Macaca fascicularis: one gene and its partners. The protein of the gene in region 5 interacts with the protein of the main gene of each other region in a pairwise test. Links are inferred from orthologs where the notes say so. Each region holds a gene or a part of one and is shown on either strand. Other genes may lie near its edges.

Region 1 (3,517 bases), on a different chromosome or scaffold from region 5:
AGAGCATGAAATGAATTATTTAAAAAAGAAGAAGAATAGGGAACCAGAAGGGTTTTGCACCAGGCGCCACCACGCATCAGCCCATCGTATCCCTGTCGTCTGTCTTTCCCATCCCCAGCCTCGTTTCCCTCCCGGAGGGTGAGATGACCCTTTGGAGGACCCTGGCTCCCCCAGCTTCCCCTCTGACACATGTCTGCTAGTGACCTCCACTAGAGATGGAATTCCAAGTCGGGTCCCTGCAGTCCAAGGACTGGGAAACGGCAGACAGCTGCCTCCCCTAGGCCTTGGTAGTGTTTCTGAAAGGATTCACCTGCTCTCTGGTGGGGGTGGGCTGTGAGTAGTCACTGGGGCAGTGGGGCAGTGGAGTGGCATTGCTTGACTCTTGCCCATTTGTGACGGCATGTGCTGATCCCTTGAATGGAGTGTGGTACTGGGCCATTGGGTCGAGTCTAGAGGGAGACGGGGACTGTGACTTTGTCTGCAGCTCAGCATTGCCAAGAAACATGATCCACTGCTCCGGGAGTTCCAGGAGGGCCGCCTGCTCTTCCCACCCACCTACAAGTTTGATAGGAACTCCAACGACTATGACACCAGGTGAGGAGGAAGCGGGGCCAGAAGGTCTAAGAAGTCAGGTTACATTGGCCCTGCTGGCATGGGCACTGTCTCAGAATAGAAGTGTTAGGGGCCGGGAAGCCGTGTAGCCATCTCCTCTCCAGAGTGGCGCCTCCTGTCCACTTCATGAGGCACTGACTGGGGGAGCCGTCCCAGATCTCAGCGAGAGTGGGAGGGAACGCCAGTGCCGGCAAAGGCAGGAGAGGTGTGTGGGGGGTGGGGGTGTTACAGGTAGAACTAGAGGAGAGGGTGGAGCAGCCGCCTCCTGACCTAGGAGGGACTGCACGTCAGCTTCTGGAAACCCCAGACCTTCTGGTCCCCAAACAGGGCAGAAAGCTTGGGCCAACCAGTTACTGGTATTAAGGACCCCTGCCCCAGCCCGTGGGTGGGTCAGGTTCTGTGTGAGAAGGTGAAGTAGTGGGTAGAGAATTTCATCAGGATCAGTGAGATCATGAGTCTGGTGGTTAAAAGCACAGCTCTGTCTGACTTTAGACAAAGTGTTAGGCCTCGTTTTGTCATCTATAAAGTGTGGATGACACAGCAGACACCTCATGAGGCTGAGGATTGAAGAAGGCTGGCACCGAGTAACCATGGGAGAGAACTGCTATTGTGACTTTTAGATTCATGCCGGCTGGGCGTGGTAGCTCACGTCTGTAATCCCAGCACTTTGGGAGGCCAAGGCAGGTGGATCACTTAAGGTCAGGAGTTCCAGACCAGCCTGACCAACATGGTGAAACCCCATCTCTACTAAAACTTCAAAAATTAGCCGGATATGGTAGCGTGCGCCTGTAATCCCAGCTACTCAAGAGGCTGAGGCAGGAGAATCGCTTGAACCCGGGAGGCGGAGGTTGCAGTGAGCCGAGATCTCACCACTGCACTCCAGTCTGGGTGACAGGCAAGACTCTGTCTCAAAAAAATAATTATAAAATAAATAGATTCATGTCTTCCCATCATAGATTTACTAAAAACCTTTCTAAGAAGCTGAGAAGGGGCCAAGTAACCATCAAAACCTGAGAAAGAACTTCTGGCAACATGTCCCTGACCCAGTTTGGGGCAAGGACCCTCATCTCTTTGAAGAAAGGAAGAGCCCCTTACATGTCATGAGGGTCTTACATGTCATGAGGGTCTTTGTCCCAGCGGGAGCGGCTCGTTCATTCTCCGAGCGGGAGTGTGTCTGTGAGGGAGGCGGGAGGTGCCAGCAGGGCAGCCCAGGCCTTTGGGATTTAGCCAGTGCAGGACAAGAGGTAGAACTCAAGCTTGGTTCTGGAAGTGGTACAGCAAAGCCAAAATATCCTTGCCAAGGAAAGGGGGAAAGAGCGAGCTGACTGAGCAGTGTGGAGCAAGATAGGGTAGGGTTGTGAGCAGGGCCGTCCAGACAAGAGGAGGCAGCAGACGCTGGGGACGGGACCCACCCTGGGCAACAGAGCAGGCAGGAAAGGAGGTAAGAGGCCAGGCTGCGACAGGCTGGCCGGCCCAGACCGACAGCTGCAGGGAGACTGCCAGTCTCTGCAGCCATCCATTAGAAACGAGAGTCATGGTGGGAGCTGTAAGTACAGGCTGGGGCCTTGGGTGGGGAGAGGTTGCTTGAAGCCAGGAGTTCAAGACCCACCTGGGCAACATGGTTAGACCCTATCTCTACAAAAATTTAAAAATCAGCTGAGTGGGATATGCCTGTAGTCCCAACTACTCAGGAAACCTGAGGCAGGAGGATCACTTGAGCCCAGGAGTTAAAGGCTGCAGTGAGCTGAGATTTACCCACTGCACTCCAGCTGGGCAACCCTGTCTCAAAAAAAAAAAAAAAATTCCTCTTTAAACACTTGCCAGCAGGAAGAGAGGTGCTGGCAGGCCCTACGGCCAGGTGGCCCCTTCTCCCAGCCCTGTGCCAGAGAGGTCTCCAGGAGACTGAAGTTTGTTGAAAAAGCTGGGTCTGGGCTGGAGTTGACAGGGTCTAAAAGGGTAGTGAGCTTTGGAGAAGTTCAAGGACTTCCCCAGGGAGCTCACCCAGTGAGTGGCAGAGCTGGAGCTCAGACTGATCTCTGAATCTATAGCCCACAGTGCTTTCGTCAAGCCCATTGTGCGTCAGGATTCATGGTCATCCTTGCCAGCAACAGCAAAAAGGATGGCACGATGAGGAAGGCAGACTCCTGCTAAGGAGGAGGCACACACCTATTTCCAAATAACAGCTCACCGTGATTGGCAGACAGGCGTGCACCCAGGCTTTGCCTGTGTCAGTTCTTACCATGTCCTCTTTAGGTAGACAGTGTCACTATTGACTGTTTACACAGAAGGCAACTGAGTCTCAAAGAATATATAAGTAAGGAGCAATAGACTTCATCACTGCATGAGGATTGGAACTCATATCTGTGTCTGTCGACTCATGAGCCTTCAGTACTTCCCTTTGGCTGGAGCCCAGGAAATGCAAGAATGTCCGGGCAAGAACAGGGGACATGGTAACTGAAATACTCCTGGCTGGGGCCAGGGTCCAGAGGCAGCTGGGAGTTCCTGCAGTGAGCAGGGCCTGAGCCCACCTGGGGCAGAGACATTCCTATCTAATGAAACTGTTATTTTATCCTTGAAAACCCAGTTGAGACATCACTTTTCCTAGGACGCCTTCCCCCATCTCACTGAGAGTTCCTTTCCTGCCCTGTGCCGCTCCCAGCCTTGCGCACGCCATGCTCTCAGTGTTGCTTTTAAGCAACACTGTACCTTTTAAGCAACAGTGTACCTTTCTTACTGTACTGTGATGGCCCAGAGAGCAGAGACGATCTGATTTAGGACCATCCCTGGGAGTAGCACAGTACCTGGCATATGTTACCAAGTCTGGGAATTAGTCAGTAGAAGGTTTCCAGAACTGCGTGCAGAAGGTTGGAGCAAATGTTAAGGAGGCGGACAGCTAACGCTAGGA
Region 2 (3,517 bases), on a different chromosome or scaffold from region 5:
ACCCATGACCCTGGGGAATGAGTGGTAGGATCAGAGAGAAAACAAGAATCCTGCAGAGAATTCCAGACTGAGCCAGGATAGCGAAGTCCCAGTATAGGGGCAGAGACTCTGCTACCTGTTGAGTCTGTTTGGCCTATAAATAAACCCCGAGGGGTTACAGCTAGCAAACGCCTGCTGGTTGGTGAAGCTGAGATACCCTCCTCCCAGGGTGGTGGGTAATGAGGTCGTGGGAGGAAGAGAAGCAGCAGCAGCTGTGAGGGGGAGTCCCTCTTCCTTCATCAGTCCCTGGTCTGACTCCAGTGATCAGAGGAGGCAGGACACAGAATTTCCAACGCTCAGGATCCAGCTAATCCAAGTCCAGCCCAACTCAGCAAAGTGACCAGAGGGTTCTAGTAGGATAAACTGCAGAAGGTAGGTGGGGAAGAGTAGGAAAGAGAAAGGGACAGAGAAGGAAAAGGGGATTTGGGTCTGAGTGCTATGTGAATACCAGGTAAAGCCATGCAGAGGGACATCCTGTGGCCCCTACACCAAGCCTGGCTCCCTGGAAACTTCTGATTACTATTTTTGTTTTGTTTCTTTTCTGTTTGCAGCAGCCTTATTAAGGTCTAATTCATGTGCTTGTGGGTTTGGATGGCACAATCTGTGTCTTGGCAAAGGAAAGCAGACTTGGCACCAGAATTAGCCCTGACAAGAAGGTGATCCTAAAGAAATGGAACCCTCATCTCCAAGAGTATTGGAGCCAGATGCTCTGAAATGGGTTTAGGCCAGCACTAGGCATGTGGCAGATGCTCAGTCAATACTGATTGAACTTGATCTGCACCTGAGAGACACGGCCGAGTCCTGAGCTTGGAGTGGGGGGCCCATGGACCATTGTCAGCACAGCAGGTTGGAGGAATTAGGGTAGGGTTTCCTCCTAAACCATGCCAGGTCCAGACTCATAAGTTAGTTGCTAAAAGTCAAGAAGAGAGCAGCGGGTGCTGGTCACAGGACTGGTCACCACCTGAGTGGGGTGTGGTTAGCCCTCCAGATCTTGAGAAGTGTCACTCAACTATGTTAGTAACAGCTTGGACCAAGACAGCAGTAAAGATACTGACTTTCTTTTTCAGCTGGGGGATAAGAGGGCAGAGGGGCTCACTAGGCTGTTTCTCTAGAAGTCTGGAAAATGAACACACACCTGCCATCCAAGAGGCTATAAGCTCATTATTATTTTAATCAATTATTTATCATGTTCCCCTGACTTAGAGGCATGGTAAGATGTTCAGTCAAGGAGTAAGTGGCAGCCATAGAGACCGTTTTACTTTACAAAGGGGAAACATCAGCTAGAGAAGAGCAGGAAATCGCTGTTACAAGGTTGTATTAATTCATTAGAGACTGAGCCCAAGAGTCCTGACTCCCAGTTTGATACCACCATGTCCTCAGTTTTCAACCCACATGGATGGAACTCTGTGCTATTTCTGCCCCCTGGTCTAGGGAGATAGTCATTTTTCTGCCCATCTTCTGACCCCTCCCCTTCTCCTCCCTCTTGGCATTTGGCAGATCCAGGCATCTATTCCAGGAACAGGAAGCCAAGCGCAACAGGTGCTTGGAGGTCATCATGATCAGCCCAGACCCCAGGCCCTCCCCTGGCTTGGCCCGGTGGGCTGAGAGCTATGAGGCCAAGTGTGAGCGCAGGCAAGAGACCCGTGAAAGCCGCCGCTGCCGTCCCAATGTGACCACTTGCCGCCAGGTGGGGAAGACGCTGAGGATCCAGCAGAGAGAGCAGCTCCAGAGAGCTCGACTGCAGCAGTTCTTCAGGAGGAGGAACCTGGAGCTAGAGGAGAAAGGCAAGGCGCACCGTCCCCAGGCCAGGGAGCAAGGGCCCTCCAGGCGGCCAGGCCAGGTGACTGTCCTCAAGGAACCTTTGTCTTGTGCCAGCAGGATCTCTTCTCCCAGAGAGCAGGTGGGCCATGTCAAGGGACATACTGCTCTGTGCTCCGGGACCCTCTCTGGACAAGGAGGGTGGGTGGGCTCAAGGTCGCTAAAAGTGATCTAAATTAAGTCCTTCTTCCTCAGTCATATAGTAAAGTTGCTAAGAGCTTCTTATAGTAAAGTTGCCAACAGCTACTTATTCAGAGATTTTTGCTGTTGTGTTTTTGTTTGTTTAGCTCTTTTTGTTCTGCACTTGACTTGTAAGAGAGAGAAAAATAATTTTTAAAAACAATTCCAGGCTGGGCATGTTGGCTCATACCTGTAATCCCAGCACTTTGGAAGGCCAAGACAGGAGGATCACTTGAGGCCAGGAGTTCGAGACCAGTTTTTTGATAGAGACAAGTCCCTGTCTCTATCAAAAACTTTACAAACTAGCCAGGCATGGTGGTGCACACCTGTAGTCCTAACTAATCAGGAGGCAAAGATGGGAGGATTACTTGAACACAGGAGTTTAAAGCGGCAATAAGCTATGATCACACCATTGTACTCCAGCCTGGGCAACAAAGGGAGACCCTATCTCTAAAAAACTTAAAATAAAACAAATAAAAATAATTCCAAAGCTAACACCTATATCAGTTCAAACTTAGGCAATATACACATATCTTCTACAGCTATCTTATAGCATTCATTCATCCATCAGTCACCAAATATTTACTGAAAGTTTATTATATGCCAAGTACACAGGCCAATCCTTTTGACACACACACAGACATATCTGTCCTCTCTTCTTCTGCAAGGCTGTTGTGCCCACTCTTCTCTCTTTCTCTGGTGTTATTCCAATTCTATTAAATCACTCGGCTACAGCCTCATCTGGTCCAGGAAGCCTTCCCTGGCTTCTCCAGGCCACCGCTGCTGTCTACGGGCCTTGTGAGGTTAAAATCTTCCAAGATTGTGTAACCCTTAGAGGGCCCATTAGTCTGGCCTGGAAAGGAACAGTGTTGGCAAAAACCAGGGTATGCTGAGATGACGTTGGCCAGCAAACCATCTGTGTCTTCCTACTGAGGTTGTGAGCATGTTGACAGCAGGGATGTGTCCACTATGTTCCGTGGAAATGCTTGGCATTGTGTCCTACCCAGAGTGGGTACTCCATTAGGGCTTCTTAACTAGTGGATCTGTTATGCTCAATAGGAGATACTGTTCAGAGCAATGATCCCAGAGCCCAGTTGCAAAAGAAAACAAACTGTTTACTAAAGCAAAAAACCTCCCCACAACTCCCCACTTTACCTAGTCTTCACACAAAACCTCAATGATTTTCTAGCTGTTACTAAGAGAAAGGAAGTTTTCCTTCGAATATGGAAGGAATCTTATAGATTATCTATTCCAAACTCCTCACTACACAGACAGAAGACTGAGACCTAGAAAAGATGGGATCTGAACCCAGATCCCCTTAGTGGCCACTCAGACCAGTTCTCTTTCCATATCACCATGCTGGCTATCTAAGTGGCCAAAACCAAACAAGGTAGAGAGAGAGAGGGGGAAAAAACAACAACCACAACTAGAGATTCTAGAGAGAAAAACTGGAGAAAAGTACAGCTCCACATATGCCTGG
Region 3 (2,801 bases), on a different chromosome or scaffold from region 5:
GTAGTTGGGATTACAGGCGCCCACCACCATGTCTGGCTTGTATTTTTAATAGAAACGGGGTTTCACCATGTTGGCCAGGCTGGCCTCGAACTCCTGACCTCAGGTGATCCGCCTGCCTCAGCCTCCCAAAGTGCTAGGATTACAACTGTGAGTCACAGTGCCCAACCCCACTTCCTTTTTGTTTCCTTATTCTTAAATACCTTATAAGGTTTTTGCTGCTACCCATGAGGAACAAACTTCCTCTTGCTCTAGTCTATACCTGAATATTCACTCTCCTTTATATTTCTAAACCCAAAAAAAGGATATGTAACCCAACAAAGGATTTTTTTCAAATATTCTGAATTTATTTGCTAACACTTTGAGAATATTTAATCATACCTAATTATAACTTTAGAGTGATCATTATATTGAAATTTTTAATGATATAAAAATAGAATTTCCTAGCCGGATGTGGTGGTACCCATGTGTAGTTCCAGCTACTCAGGAGGGTGAGGTGGGAAGATTGCTTGAGCCTGGGAGTACAAAGCCAACCTGGGAAACATAGCAAGACCGTCTTTTTTTTTTCTTTAAAGGAATTTCCTGGCTGGGCACAGTGGTTCAGGCCTATAATCCCAGCACTTCGAGGGGCCAAGGCAGGCAGATCACCTGAGGTCAGGAATTCAAGACCAACCTGGCTAACGTGGTGAAACCCCGTTTTTACTAAAAATACGAAAAATTAGCTAGGTGTGGTGGCACGCGCCTGTAATCCTATTTATTCGGGAAGTTGAGGCAGAAGAATCTCTTGAACTTGGGAGGTGGAGGTTGCAGTGAGCCAAGATTGTGCCAAGACCAAAACTCCGTCATAGATAGATAGATAGATAATTTCCTAGGAAATCATTATAGGTAAAACAATCTGGGCTACCATTATGGAATTGGGGCTTATGAAATATCATACACCAGACCATTTCATTTTAGGGCAACTCAAAAGGATCACCTTCCACATGCAAGATAGGAAGGTGTTAAGTTCTACCTGGAGACACAGAAGAATATCAAATTCGATGACATTATTGACCATTAGGAAGAGGCTAGCTTCCTGCCCTTTAATATTACATCTTAGTTAGATAAATTAACCAAGTAGAAATCTGGACTATATCCATAGCTCAAATTTGGTCCTCTCTACACACTTTTATAAAACATTTTTGGCCAGGCGTGGTGGCTCACGCCTGTAATCCCAGCACTTTGGGAGGCCAAGGCGGGCATATCACCTGAGGTCAGGAGTTCGAGACCAACCTGGCCAAGATGGTAAAACCTCATCTCTACTAAAAATACAAAAATTAGCCGGGCATGGTGGCATGCCCTTGCAATCCCAGCTACTCGGGAGGCTAAGGCAGAAGAATCGCTTGAATCCAGGAGCTGGAGGTTGCAGTGAGCCAAGATCACACCACTGCACTCCAGCCTGGGCAACAGAGCAAGACTCTGTTTCAGAAACAACAGCAACAAAAAGAGGTAAATTTAAGGCCAAGATTGATGTGGAAATGAAAAGGATTTTGGAGAGAGGGAAAAGGTAGAAATTCACAAATGCCAATTTTGTATTTCTTGCCTTCTGGGATCTACACCAATTTAGAAATAGCCCCAAGACTAGGATAGAGTAAGGAAAAGATTATATTAGCTTCATTACCCCCATAGATAGGGTACCCTAGAGTTCCTGGATTGGGAAAAATGCCTGGGATCTGTAACCAAAACTGGAACTCCTACTACAGTCCCTCAATTCTAGACCTTGAAAGTGCACTTAAGGAGGATTAGGTCTGTAGGGTAAACACTTAGCCAGCCAGAGACATCACACCCTATCTTACACACCACTAAGTAAGGAGAAAGAGCCAAAGAGAAATGAGCTTTCAGGCCATCTCTTGAAGGCCAGTCCTACCTCTTGGCTGGCTATGCTTAATCTCCTAGAAGGAAGATCAGGAAAACAATTGTTTTGCTGGAAGACAAATAGAACTTAGAATTATATCCCAGTTCCATAGCCCAGTCTAACCAAATCAAATAAAGGAATAGAAGCAACAATCAGGGGTCCCCACCCCTCTATTGTAATGTAATCAGTCTGGGTCAGCCATTTTAAAAGCTTTTTTATTCCTGTGTGGTATGAAATGGCTTGAGAACTTCGTTTTTCCCTTGAATGAGACATTTCTTATAAATAAATCAGGACTGATAGCTTTCCAGCTTATTTTTTAAACTTTTTATTTCTGTGTATTCTTTTGAAATGCTTACATTTTCTATTAAAAAAAAATAGAGCTTAACATGCAACCCCTCATTTGAAAAAGAAGTAATTCTAACATATGCTATCTGTTTCACAGGTTGTAGGTCATAAAGAAGGTCTGGATGTTATGGAGAGAGCTGATCCTTTATTCCTTTTAATTGGACTTCCTACTATTCCTGTCATGCTGATATTAGGCAAGATGATTCGCTGGGAGGACTATGTGCTTAGACTGTGGCGCAAATACTCGAATAAACTTCAAATTTTAAATAGTATATTTCCAGGTAAGGCCCTGAACTGTGGTTGTAAAGTGCATACCAAATTGATCTTATAGAAGAACCATAACATGCTTTTTTAGCCATGTTTGAAGATATTCTAACTCTTCTGATTTATTAGCACTAATGCACTACATTTTTTTCTCTAGGGATTGGTTGTCCTGTTCCTCGAATTCCAGCAGAGGCTAATCCTTTAGCAGATCATGTCTCTGCTACTCGAATCTTGTGTGGAGCCCTTGTCTTTCCTACTATTGCGACAATAGTTGGTAAATTGATGTTCAGTAGTGTTAACT
Region 4 (3,517 bases), on a different chromosome or scaffold from region 5:
TGAGGCAGGAGAATGGCCGGAACCCGGGAGGCGGAGCTTGCAGTGAGCTGAGATCCGGCCACTGCACTCCAGCCTGGGCGACAGAGCGAGACTCCGCCTCAAAAAAAAGAAAAAGAAAAAAAAAAAAAAGATGTCATAGTGAGCTTGCTGGTTTTTCTTAAAGGTACTTATATTTGAAACATAAATGCTTAATATATCCTTAAAATGTTAGCATAAACAACTTGCTTATTCCCTTCCTACGGTAGTACAATTTTAAATCACGCAATTCCTGAGCGTGTTTTCTAAAACAACAAAACGACACGAAAAGCCACAGTGCAATTTGTGTGTTTGCTTTGTTCACCTTTGTCTCCAACGCTGGCAGGTCAGTCCCTGGGGCAGGGGTGGTGTCTGGTCTGGCTTGTGGCTGGGTGTCCAGCACACAGTGTGCTCTCAATTAACATTTTCTCATCAAATGGGGAACAAGCAAAGGTGTGAGTGAATGGCTGGCCAGGGCGGCACCTGGCGCTCCGGGCCCCTTTCCAGCTCCTGGACTTCAGAGCTTTTCCTGTGCTCACCTGTCCCCCAGCTGGGGCTTCAGACGGAAACTCAGCATCCTCACTGGTATCATGGATGACTTCCTCCCACTGCCACACCCCACACAGAGGGTTGGAGAGACCAGCAATTGCCACTTCCTGTTTCTGGGACAGAAGGTGTTTCCGAGGTCAGGGAGAGCCATGTTAAGGTAGAAGACAAGGTCAGAGACAGAAACGGGTTTAGGTGTGTGGCTGAAAATAGGATGAGAGGTAGAAAAGAGCTGGTGTGGGGCTGGTGTGGGGAGTGGGCAGAAGCAGGAACAGGGGAGGGTTTGCTGCCAGGACCGAGGTCTGGGTTCGAGATGAAGTTAAGGAGTGAGATGGTCATGGAGGGAGACGAGATAGGGGTGAGTCACAGCTGGATCGGACTGGGGTCTGGCATAGGCCTGGGGCTGGCAGTGGGTTTGGGGTTAGGATCCGAGATAGAGTTAGAGAAAAGCTAAGGTTGTGATGGGAGCCTCTGGCAGCAATGTGGGTTAGGGCTAGGCTGGTGTGAGGATCAGAGTGGGGAGATGTTTGGAGATCCTGCCTTGGTGGCCTGCAGCTTATTCCAGGGGTGTTAGGCCCACCTGTCGAATGGCCTCGATCTCCAAGCCCAGCGATGGGGGCAGCAGCCGGGTCCAGCCCACTCTTCTCAGCTGGGCCCCTTCAGGTAGCCTGGCCACACAGGGAGGAGGGAGGAAGGCGGCCTTTGTGCCTGGGGGCCACTCAGTCGGCTCATGCTGGCCTCCCTTCCCTGCCCACCTTGGGGCTGGAGACCAGGGTGTCTCTGCTCTTAGGCTCCCCTCCTGCCTCCTCCTACCCTATGAAGTTCCACTCACTCATCGGGCCCCTCATAGGTCTGACTCAGCTGCTCCTCCAGGCGTGAAATCTCCAGCCTCAGTTCCTGCAAAGGAGGAAGTGGGGGGCACATCTGGCTCTCCATTTTTCCCATCCCTGGGCTCCTCTTCCAGGGTTCTTTCCACTTTCCTGACTACTTTGGCCTCCCCAGACACACACTGCCTGGGGACAAAGGGCAGAAAGCCATGACAGAATGTTAGGAAGCCAAAGAGAGACAGAGAGCAACAGGAATCCAGAAGCTAAAGCACAGGCCAAGAGGCCGGGAGCTGTGGCTCATGCCGGTAATCCCAGCACTTCAGGAGGGCAGATCACGAGGTCAGGAGATCGAGACCATCCTGGCTGACAGGGTGAAACCCCGTCTCTACTAAAAATACAAAAAATTAGCCAGGCATGGTGGCACGCACTTGTAGTTCCAGCTACTTGGGAGGCTGAGGCAGAAGAATCGCTTGAACCCAGGAGGAGGAGCTTGCAGTGAGCCAAGATTGTGCCACTGCACTCCAGCCTGGGCGACACAACCAGACTCCGTCTCAAAAAAGAAAAACAAAACAAAACAAAACAAAACAAAAAGCACAGCCAAGAAAATTAAGAGAAGGAAGGCAGAGGCAGTGATGCATGAAAAAATGAAAGACATAAATGGAAACAGACTCACAGACAGGCAAGGGAAACACCAGGGCTAAGAGACTGGTAAAGACCAGAGCCAAACAGAGAAGACTTGCCTAGGGAGACAGACAGCCTAGACCTAGAGGCAGAGACAGGAACCCACACGAGCCTGGCAGAGACACATAAAGATGAGGAGGGGAGGCTGGGCGCGGTGGCTCACGCCTGTAATCCCAGCACTTTGGGAGGCCGAGGTGGGCGGATCATGAGGCCAAGAGATCGAGACCATCCTGGCCAACATGGTGAAACCCCGTCTCTACTAAAAATACAAAAATCAGCTGGGCATGATGGCGTGCGCCTGTAGTCCCAGCTATCTGGGAGGCTGAGACAGGAGAATCGCTTGAACCTGGGAGGCAGAGGTTGCAGTGAGCCGAGATTGCGTCACTGCACTCCAGCCTGGTGACAGAGCGAGACTCTGTCTCAAAAAAAAAAAAAAAAAAAAAAGATAAGGAGGGGTATGTGAGAAGACACCCACAGAGAATGAAAGTGAATGGAAGGAACAGAAAAAAAGTGAAAAGGCAGATAGAGAAACAGAGGGTGAGACACACAGTAAGTCATACAGTCATACATTATGGATAGAAGAAGCAAGATGTGGCCACCGACAGAGAAAGAGCGATGAGGAGGAGAGGCAGCAAGTCCCAGAGATGGCAAAAGAGAAGTGGCCAGGGCCGCTGAGTTACCTGCGTCGTCACTCTGTATTCTTGCAAGGTCTGGGCCAGGCTCTCCACATGGCGAGTGCGCTGGGAAAGCCGAAAGCCAAATGAGACTGGGACCAGTTCCCCAAAGACATAGTGGGGGGTGGTGGTGGGGGGACTGGCTGGGGGGGTTAAGGGACAAGGGTGAGCTTGAGAGAAGAGCTGGGGCCCAAGGGAGAGCACCGGGCAGAAGGGCTTCTAGATCCCTGAGGGGTCACATTGGGACCTGGGGAATCCCTCCAATCTCTCCGCCTGCACATCCAAGGACCAGACCCAAGTAGGACTTCCCTTTCTAGACCAGGGGCAGGAAGTGGCTGGCGCACACGGAAGGCAAATCTCTTTCCCTCCCCGGGCTCCTCACCTCAGAGAGGATGGTGTCTCGTTGGCAAATGAGGTGTTCACACTCAAAGAGCTGCCGCTGCCAAGAAAGGAGCCGGTCCATCCATCCAACCTCCCAGGACTCCCCTCGGTCCTGCCCTCCGTCTGGCCTGCCCTGCTCTCCCGCACCCCGCCGATTCAACCTCCTGAGATGTTCCGGGACTTCAGGGATTTTAGGGATGCCTGGGTGGTCCTGGGAGTCTGACAGTTTGATGGAAGACCCTGCTCTCATCAGGCTGCAGTCACTAAAACCGGAAATGGGAAAAATGGCCCCAGGGTGGTGGAAAGTTGTCAGGCACTAGGAAGGAGTGGCACCTTCAAAGTGTCCTTCTCCATGGCCAGTTCCTGACTTCTCTTCTTCACTCCATCCCGCTC
Region 5 (4,101 bases):
CCCTCTTTGCTTGGCTTTAGGTGGTGGATTCTTATGCCACCAGGGGGCAGTGCCTCCACATGCACCTGGACCCTGTGCTCCTGTGCCCAAGAAGCCCCACCAGGGTCAGTTGATAACTAGACAGAAATCTGGCCTCCATAGCCTGAGGCCCTGTGGCAAGCCAGTGCCTACACTACTGTAGCTTTGCTGACTTCTGAGTGCTCCTCACAATCCAGCCACCCTGTAGGGAGGCTTGTCCATGGTGGAGACTGACACCAAAAGAAGGGAGAAACTTGCTCGAGGTAAAATCTTGAGGTCATAGTGAGATAAGATTGTCAGATAGAATACAGGATATGCAGCTAAATTTCAATGTTAGATCAACCCATGAATCCTTTTTTTAGTGTAAATATGTCCCAAAGGTTAGTGTACAAGAGAGAATACTTACACTACAAATGTAGTATAAGTACAGATGTGTTGTTTATCTGAAATTTAAATGTACTTCGTATCTGTATTTTCATTTGCTCAATCTGGCAACCTTGGCTGGGCTTCCCAGGCTCCTGAATCCCACTAAGCTGAGCACACTCAGTAGTTTCTCTGCTCCCAAGGTGGCCCTCCAGAAAGCTCAAATTTCATCGCAGCTGCTCCACTAGATCTGGGAAGGGCTTCTTTGGGGCCCCCAGGAATGCAGGCAGGGCCTATATCAGCTCTGCTTCCCAAGAGCTCGGCCCCAGCGCTGGACAGGTGAGGTGGGGGCAGGGGACAGGCAGCCTCAGACCATGCTGCCCTATCTCAGCTAGTTCTGACCCCTTCCTTTGCACTCCCTCTCCTTCCTTCCTTCCTTCCTTCCTTCCTTCCTTCCTTCCTTCCTTCCTTCCTTCCTTCCTTCCTTCCTCTTTTCCTCCTTCCTTCTTTCCTTCCTTCCTTCCTCCCTTCCTCTTTTCCTTCCTTCCTTCCTTCCTTCCTTCCTTCCTTCCTTCCTTCCTTCCTTCCTTCCTCCCTTCCTCTTTTCCTCCTTCCTTCCTCCTCTTTATCCCACCTGACCCAAGGGCTCTGGGGGAAGAAGAGGCTATTTCTAAAAGGAACGTTTTATAAACCTGTCCTGATTCCTTTCACAAATAGCCTCCTATTCCCCCAGGGGCTCTGGGGTTGTTTCCTAGAATGAAGGGTTCACCACAGGTCGTGTAGCAATCAGTGTTTTCCAGAGAAACATAACTGATAGGATGTATATATGTATGTATGTATATATGTATATATCTGCATATGCACAAGTATATATACATTTATTTTAATAAATTGACTTATGCAATTGTGGGGCTGACAAGTCTGAAATGTGCAGGGCAGCCTGGCAGGCTGGCAACTCAAAGAAGAGTTGACACTGCAGTCCTGGGGTAGAATTACCTCTACTTTGGGAAACCTCAGTCTTTGCTCTTCAGGCCTCTCAGTTGATTGTGTGAGACCAACCCACATCATCGAGGATGTGTCTCTACTTTACTTCAAGTCCACTGGTTGTAGATGCCAACCACAGCTACAAAATGCCTCCACAGCAACACCTAGACTAGTGTTTGAAGGAGTCACTGGGGACTAGAACCTGGCCAGGTGACACATAAACCTGACCATCACAGTGGTCTAATCAGTAGGGAAACTGAGGGAGAATTGGGACTTAGAAGGTGCAAGGCCTGAGGCCCCTGGGAGTTCTAGTGGCTGCAGTCAGGTCCCACCTCTCTTACCCTTCTCTCCCTTTGTTCTCATGGCTCCTGCCTAGTCTGACCTACTTCAGAAAAAGGCTACCTCCCATGTCTGGGGACTCTGGATGGGGGAGGTAGGATATGCTCTCCAGAGAATCTCTTCTGAAGGTGTGGTATGGCCTGGATTGCTAGGACCTAACTCTGCTGTAGCCACTGCCTGGCTCTTGGACCCTGTGCCAATCCCTGTTTCTTCATAGAAATGATGGAGGGTAGACCCTACCCTTCCCCCCATGGGCTAAATATGGAGATTCATGAGCCAGAGCAGTTCTCACAGTCAAAGGCATGGAATTGTATCTCTTCTCCTAAGTTGCTTACAGAGTAGCAAGGAGAAGGCCACGGACCTAGCCAACAAGATACAATAGAAACAGAAAGTGCTGAGTCCAAGGCCTCAGCCTAGAGAGGGAGTCTTGCTCCACCCCCAGGTCTGACTATATCTTCCTTGAGCTCCTGTTCCAGGAAGAGGTGATTTTCTGAGTGTGACTCCTCTGTTCCTGGCACCCTGTACATCCTTAGCCATAGCTTACAAGTGAACAGCTGGTTGTGATGGCAGGAGGCCCTCCCAACACCAAGGCAGAGATGGAAATGTCCCTGACAGAAGAATTGAATCATGGACGCCAAGGGCAAAACCAAGAGCACCTGGTGATAGCGGGTGAGGATCCCCTAAAATACCCCTAGGCTACAGCCAACTGTGTAGATACATGTCTGTACCTGTGCATGTGTGTGTTGGGAAAGGTGCATGTGTGCATGGAAGTGTTTGCACATCTGTGTGTTGGGCGGGCTTTGAGGATTTGTGGGTTGATGGTAAGGGATCTAGGAGAAAAGGGATAGATGATGTGAGCATTTTGCCCTGGGAGGGAGGAGGATGGGAACAACATGTGTGGTCCCTCTGTCTTCCCCTTGTCCAAGCCACCACAGTGTCTGTTGCAAAATACTCAGAGGGCTCAAATTATGAGACCAGAGATCAATTCTCTCTCCCAACCCTCGAATTCATTTTCCTGCCATTTGGAGGAAAATCCAGACTCCATGATCTATAAGATTGTATCAGCCTCCTCAAAACATTTCATACTATGATATAGACAGAAAATACCATTTCTATAGCACACAAAGGGATCCAGATCACATTGCATTTATGTTTGTTCTTACAATGCTCCAAGCCTGCTTCTTCCCCAAAGACCTTGCATTTGCTGTTTCCTCTGTCTGGAATGCTCTTTCCCTCAATTTCCCAGGGCTGGGTCCTTTATTTTTTTCAGGTCCCTGCCTCAATTGTTGTCTCCTACTTTTCTAGAAGGAGCCCTTTCCTTCCACTATGTTACCCTGTTTTGATCATTTATGGAGCCTGCATCTCTCTGTCTGCATTTGCAAGGATAGACCTTCTGTTTTACACCTGTCATTCACTCTTATACACAAAACAGATGGTCAGTTCCTTGATAGCTGGAATCTTGTTCTTGGTCATTGCTCTCTAGATTACTGGAGAGTAACCTAGTCTCGAGCTGAGCCCTCAGGATTCTTGTTTAACTTTTGAACAGATGAACAAACTGAGACCTGGGATCAGCTGGTGGACAGTGGTTAATGGGTGCTGAGTGATTCCCAAGAAAGCTGGGGACTCTGTCTTCTTTTTGGTGTGTTTTGTGCCCAAGAAGCCCTGGTACAACTTCTATGGGTGCTCCTGGGGTCTCTGTTCTTCTCTCTAGAAATGATGGAGCATGGATCTCGGTCCCTGGGTGCCTCCCAGAAGAGGCAGAAGTTGGAACAAAAAGCTGCTGGCTCTGCTTCAGCGAAACGAGTTTGGAATATGACTGCCACCCGATCCAAGAAAATGGTACTGCATGGGGTCCTCAGCACATGTTGGCCAGGTTGGGGTTGGGAGTACTGGTTGTAGGGGCTGTAGCCTGACCAGGTCAGGCAGGGCTAGACATTGACTTGTGAGGAGGAGGAAGCTCCTGTATTCCAAGCTGGCAAATGAGGACAGAAAGGTCAGGGTCATCCTTTCCTATGCTTGGGATGCAACCTTGGGAGTTCAGAATGCCTGAAACAAATATTGCATGGGGAGTACATAAATATTTCACTCTGTAAATCCATTGTGTGAAATAACGCTTCCTGTATTTAAAATTGTGTGTGTGGTGCGTGTGTGTGTATACACACAATAACTCAGGTGAGGCTCCTACGCTTTCTGGCTGTTAAGAAATCCAGTCAAGTCGTCTGGCATGGTGGCTCATGCCTGTAATCTGAGCACTCTGGCAGGAAGAGGTGGACGGATCACTTGAGGCCAGGAGTTGGAGAACAGTCTGGCCAGCATGGTGAAACCTTGTCTCTACTAAAAATACAAAAATTAGCTGGGCATGGTGGCACATGCCTGTAATCACAGCTACTCAGGAGG

Evidence for each region. The genes of interacting proteins can lie anywhere in the genome.
Region 1: the proteins of FATE1 (region 5) and INPP5K interact in binary tests that used the Homo sapiens proteins (3 or more experiments, as listed by UniProt). The link is inferred for Macaca fascicularis from reciprocal best matches to the Homo sapiens genes FATE1 and INPP5K.
Region 2: the proteins of FATE1 (region 5) and TRAF3IP3 interact in binary tests that used the Homo sapiens proteins (3 or more experiments, as listed by UniProt). The two-hybrid records come from large-scale screens. The link is inferred for Macaca fascicularis from reciprocal best matches to the Homo sapiens genes FATE1 and TRAF3IP3.
Region 3: the proteins of FATE1 (region 5) and MARCHF5 interact in binary tests that used the Homo sapiens proteins (3 or more experiments, as listed by UniProt). The two-hybrid records come from large-scale screens. The link is inferred for Macaca fascicularis from reciprocal best matches to the Homo sapiens genes FATE1 and MARCHF5.
Region 4: the proteins of FATE1 (region 5) and KASH5 interact in binary tests that used the Homo sapiens proteins (3 or more experiments, as listed by UniProt). The two-hybrid records come from large-scale screens. The link is inferred for Macaca fascicularis from reciprocal best matches to the Homo sapiens genes FATE1 and KASH5.

Annotation. Positions count from the first base shown.
Region 1 is NC_088390.1:1,617,821-1,621,337, reverse strand, and holds part of INPP5K (inositol polyphosphate 5-phosphatase K), read left to right. Parts: intron 1-484; coding exon 485-594; intron 595-3,517. UniProt on the Homo sapiens protein: Inositol 5-phosphatase which acts on inositol 1,4,5-trisphosphate, inositol 1,3,4,5-tetrakisphosphate, phosphatidylinositol 4,5-bisphosphate and phosphatidylinositol 3,4,5-trisphosphate.
Region 2 is NC_088375.1:67,583,405-67,586,921, forward strand, and holds part of TRAF3IP3 (TRAF3-interacting JNK-activating modulator), read left to right. Parts: intron 1-280; exon of another isoform or gene 281-411; intron 412-590; exon of another isoform or gene 591-612; coding exon of another isoform or gene 613-695; intron 696-1,536; coding exon 1,537-1,939; intron 1,940-3,517. UniProt on the Homo sapiens protein: Adapter protein that plays essential roles in both innate and adaptive immunity. Plays a crucial role in the regulation of thymocyte development.
Region 3 is NC_088383.1:101,128,783-101,131,583, forward strand, and holds part of MARCHF5 (E3 ubiquitin-protein ligase MARCHF5), read left to right. Parts: intron 1-2,333; coding exon 2,334-2,517; intron 2,518-2,657; coding exon 2,658-2,801. UniProt on the Homo sapiens protein: Mitochondrial E3 ubiquitin-protein ligase that plays a crucial role in the control of mitochondrial morphology by acting as a positive regulator of mitochondrial fission and as an important regulator of immune response.
Region 4 is NC_088393.1:57,356,554-57,360,070, reverse strand, and holds part of KASH5 (protein KASH5), read right to left. Parts: coding exon 3,458-3,517; intron 3,446-3,457; exon of another isoform or gene 3,375-3,445; coding exon of another isoform or gene 3,183-3,374; coding exon 3,126-3,182; intron 2,810-3,125; coding exon 2,750-2,809; intron 1,459-2,749; coding exon 1,394-1,458; intron 1,230-1,393; coding exon 1,142-1,229; intron 678-1,141; coding exon 555-677; intron 1-554. UniProt on the Homo sapiens protein: As a component of the LINC (LInker of Nucleoskeleton and Cytoskeleton) complex, involved in the connection between the nuclear lamina and the cytoskeleton.
Region 5 is NC_088395.1:157,778,855-157,782,955, forward strand, and holds the start of FATE1 (fetal and adult testis-expressed transcript protein), read left to right. Parts: upstream 1-1,297; 5' UTR 1,298-2,267; coding exon 2,268-2,373; intron 2,374-3,415; coding exon 3,416-3,543; intron 3,544-4,101. UniProt on the Homo sapiens protein: Involved in the regulation of endoplasmic reticulum (ER)-mitochondria coupling. Negatively regulates the ER-mitochondria distance and Ca(2+) transfer from ER to mitochondria possibly implicating it in the regulation of apoptosis.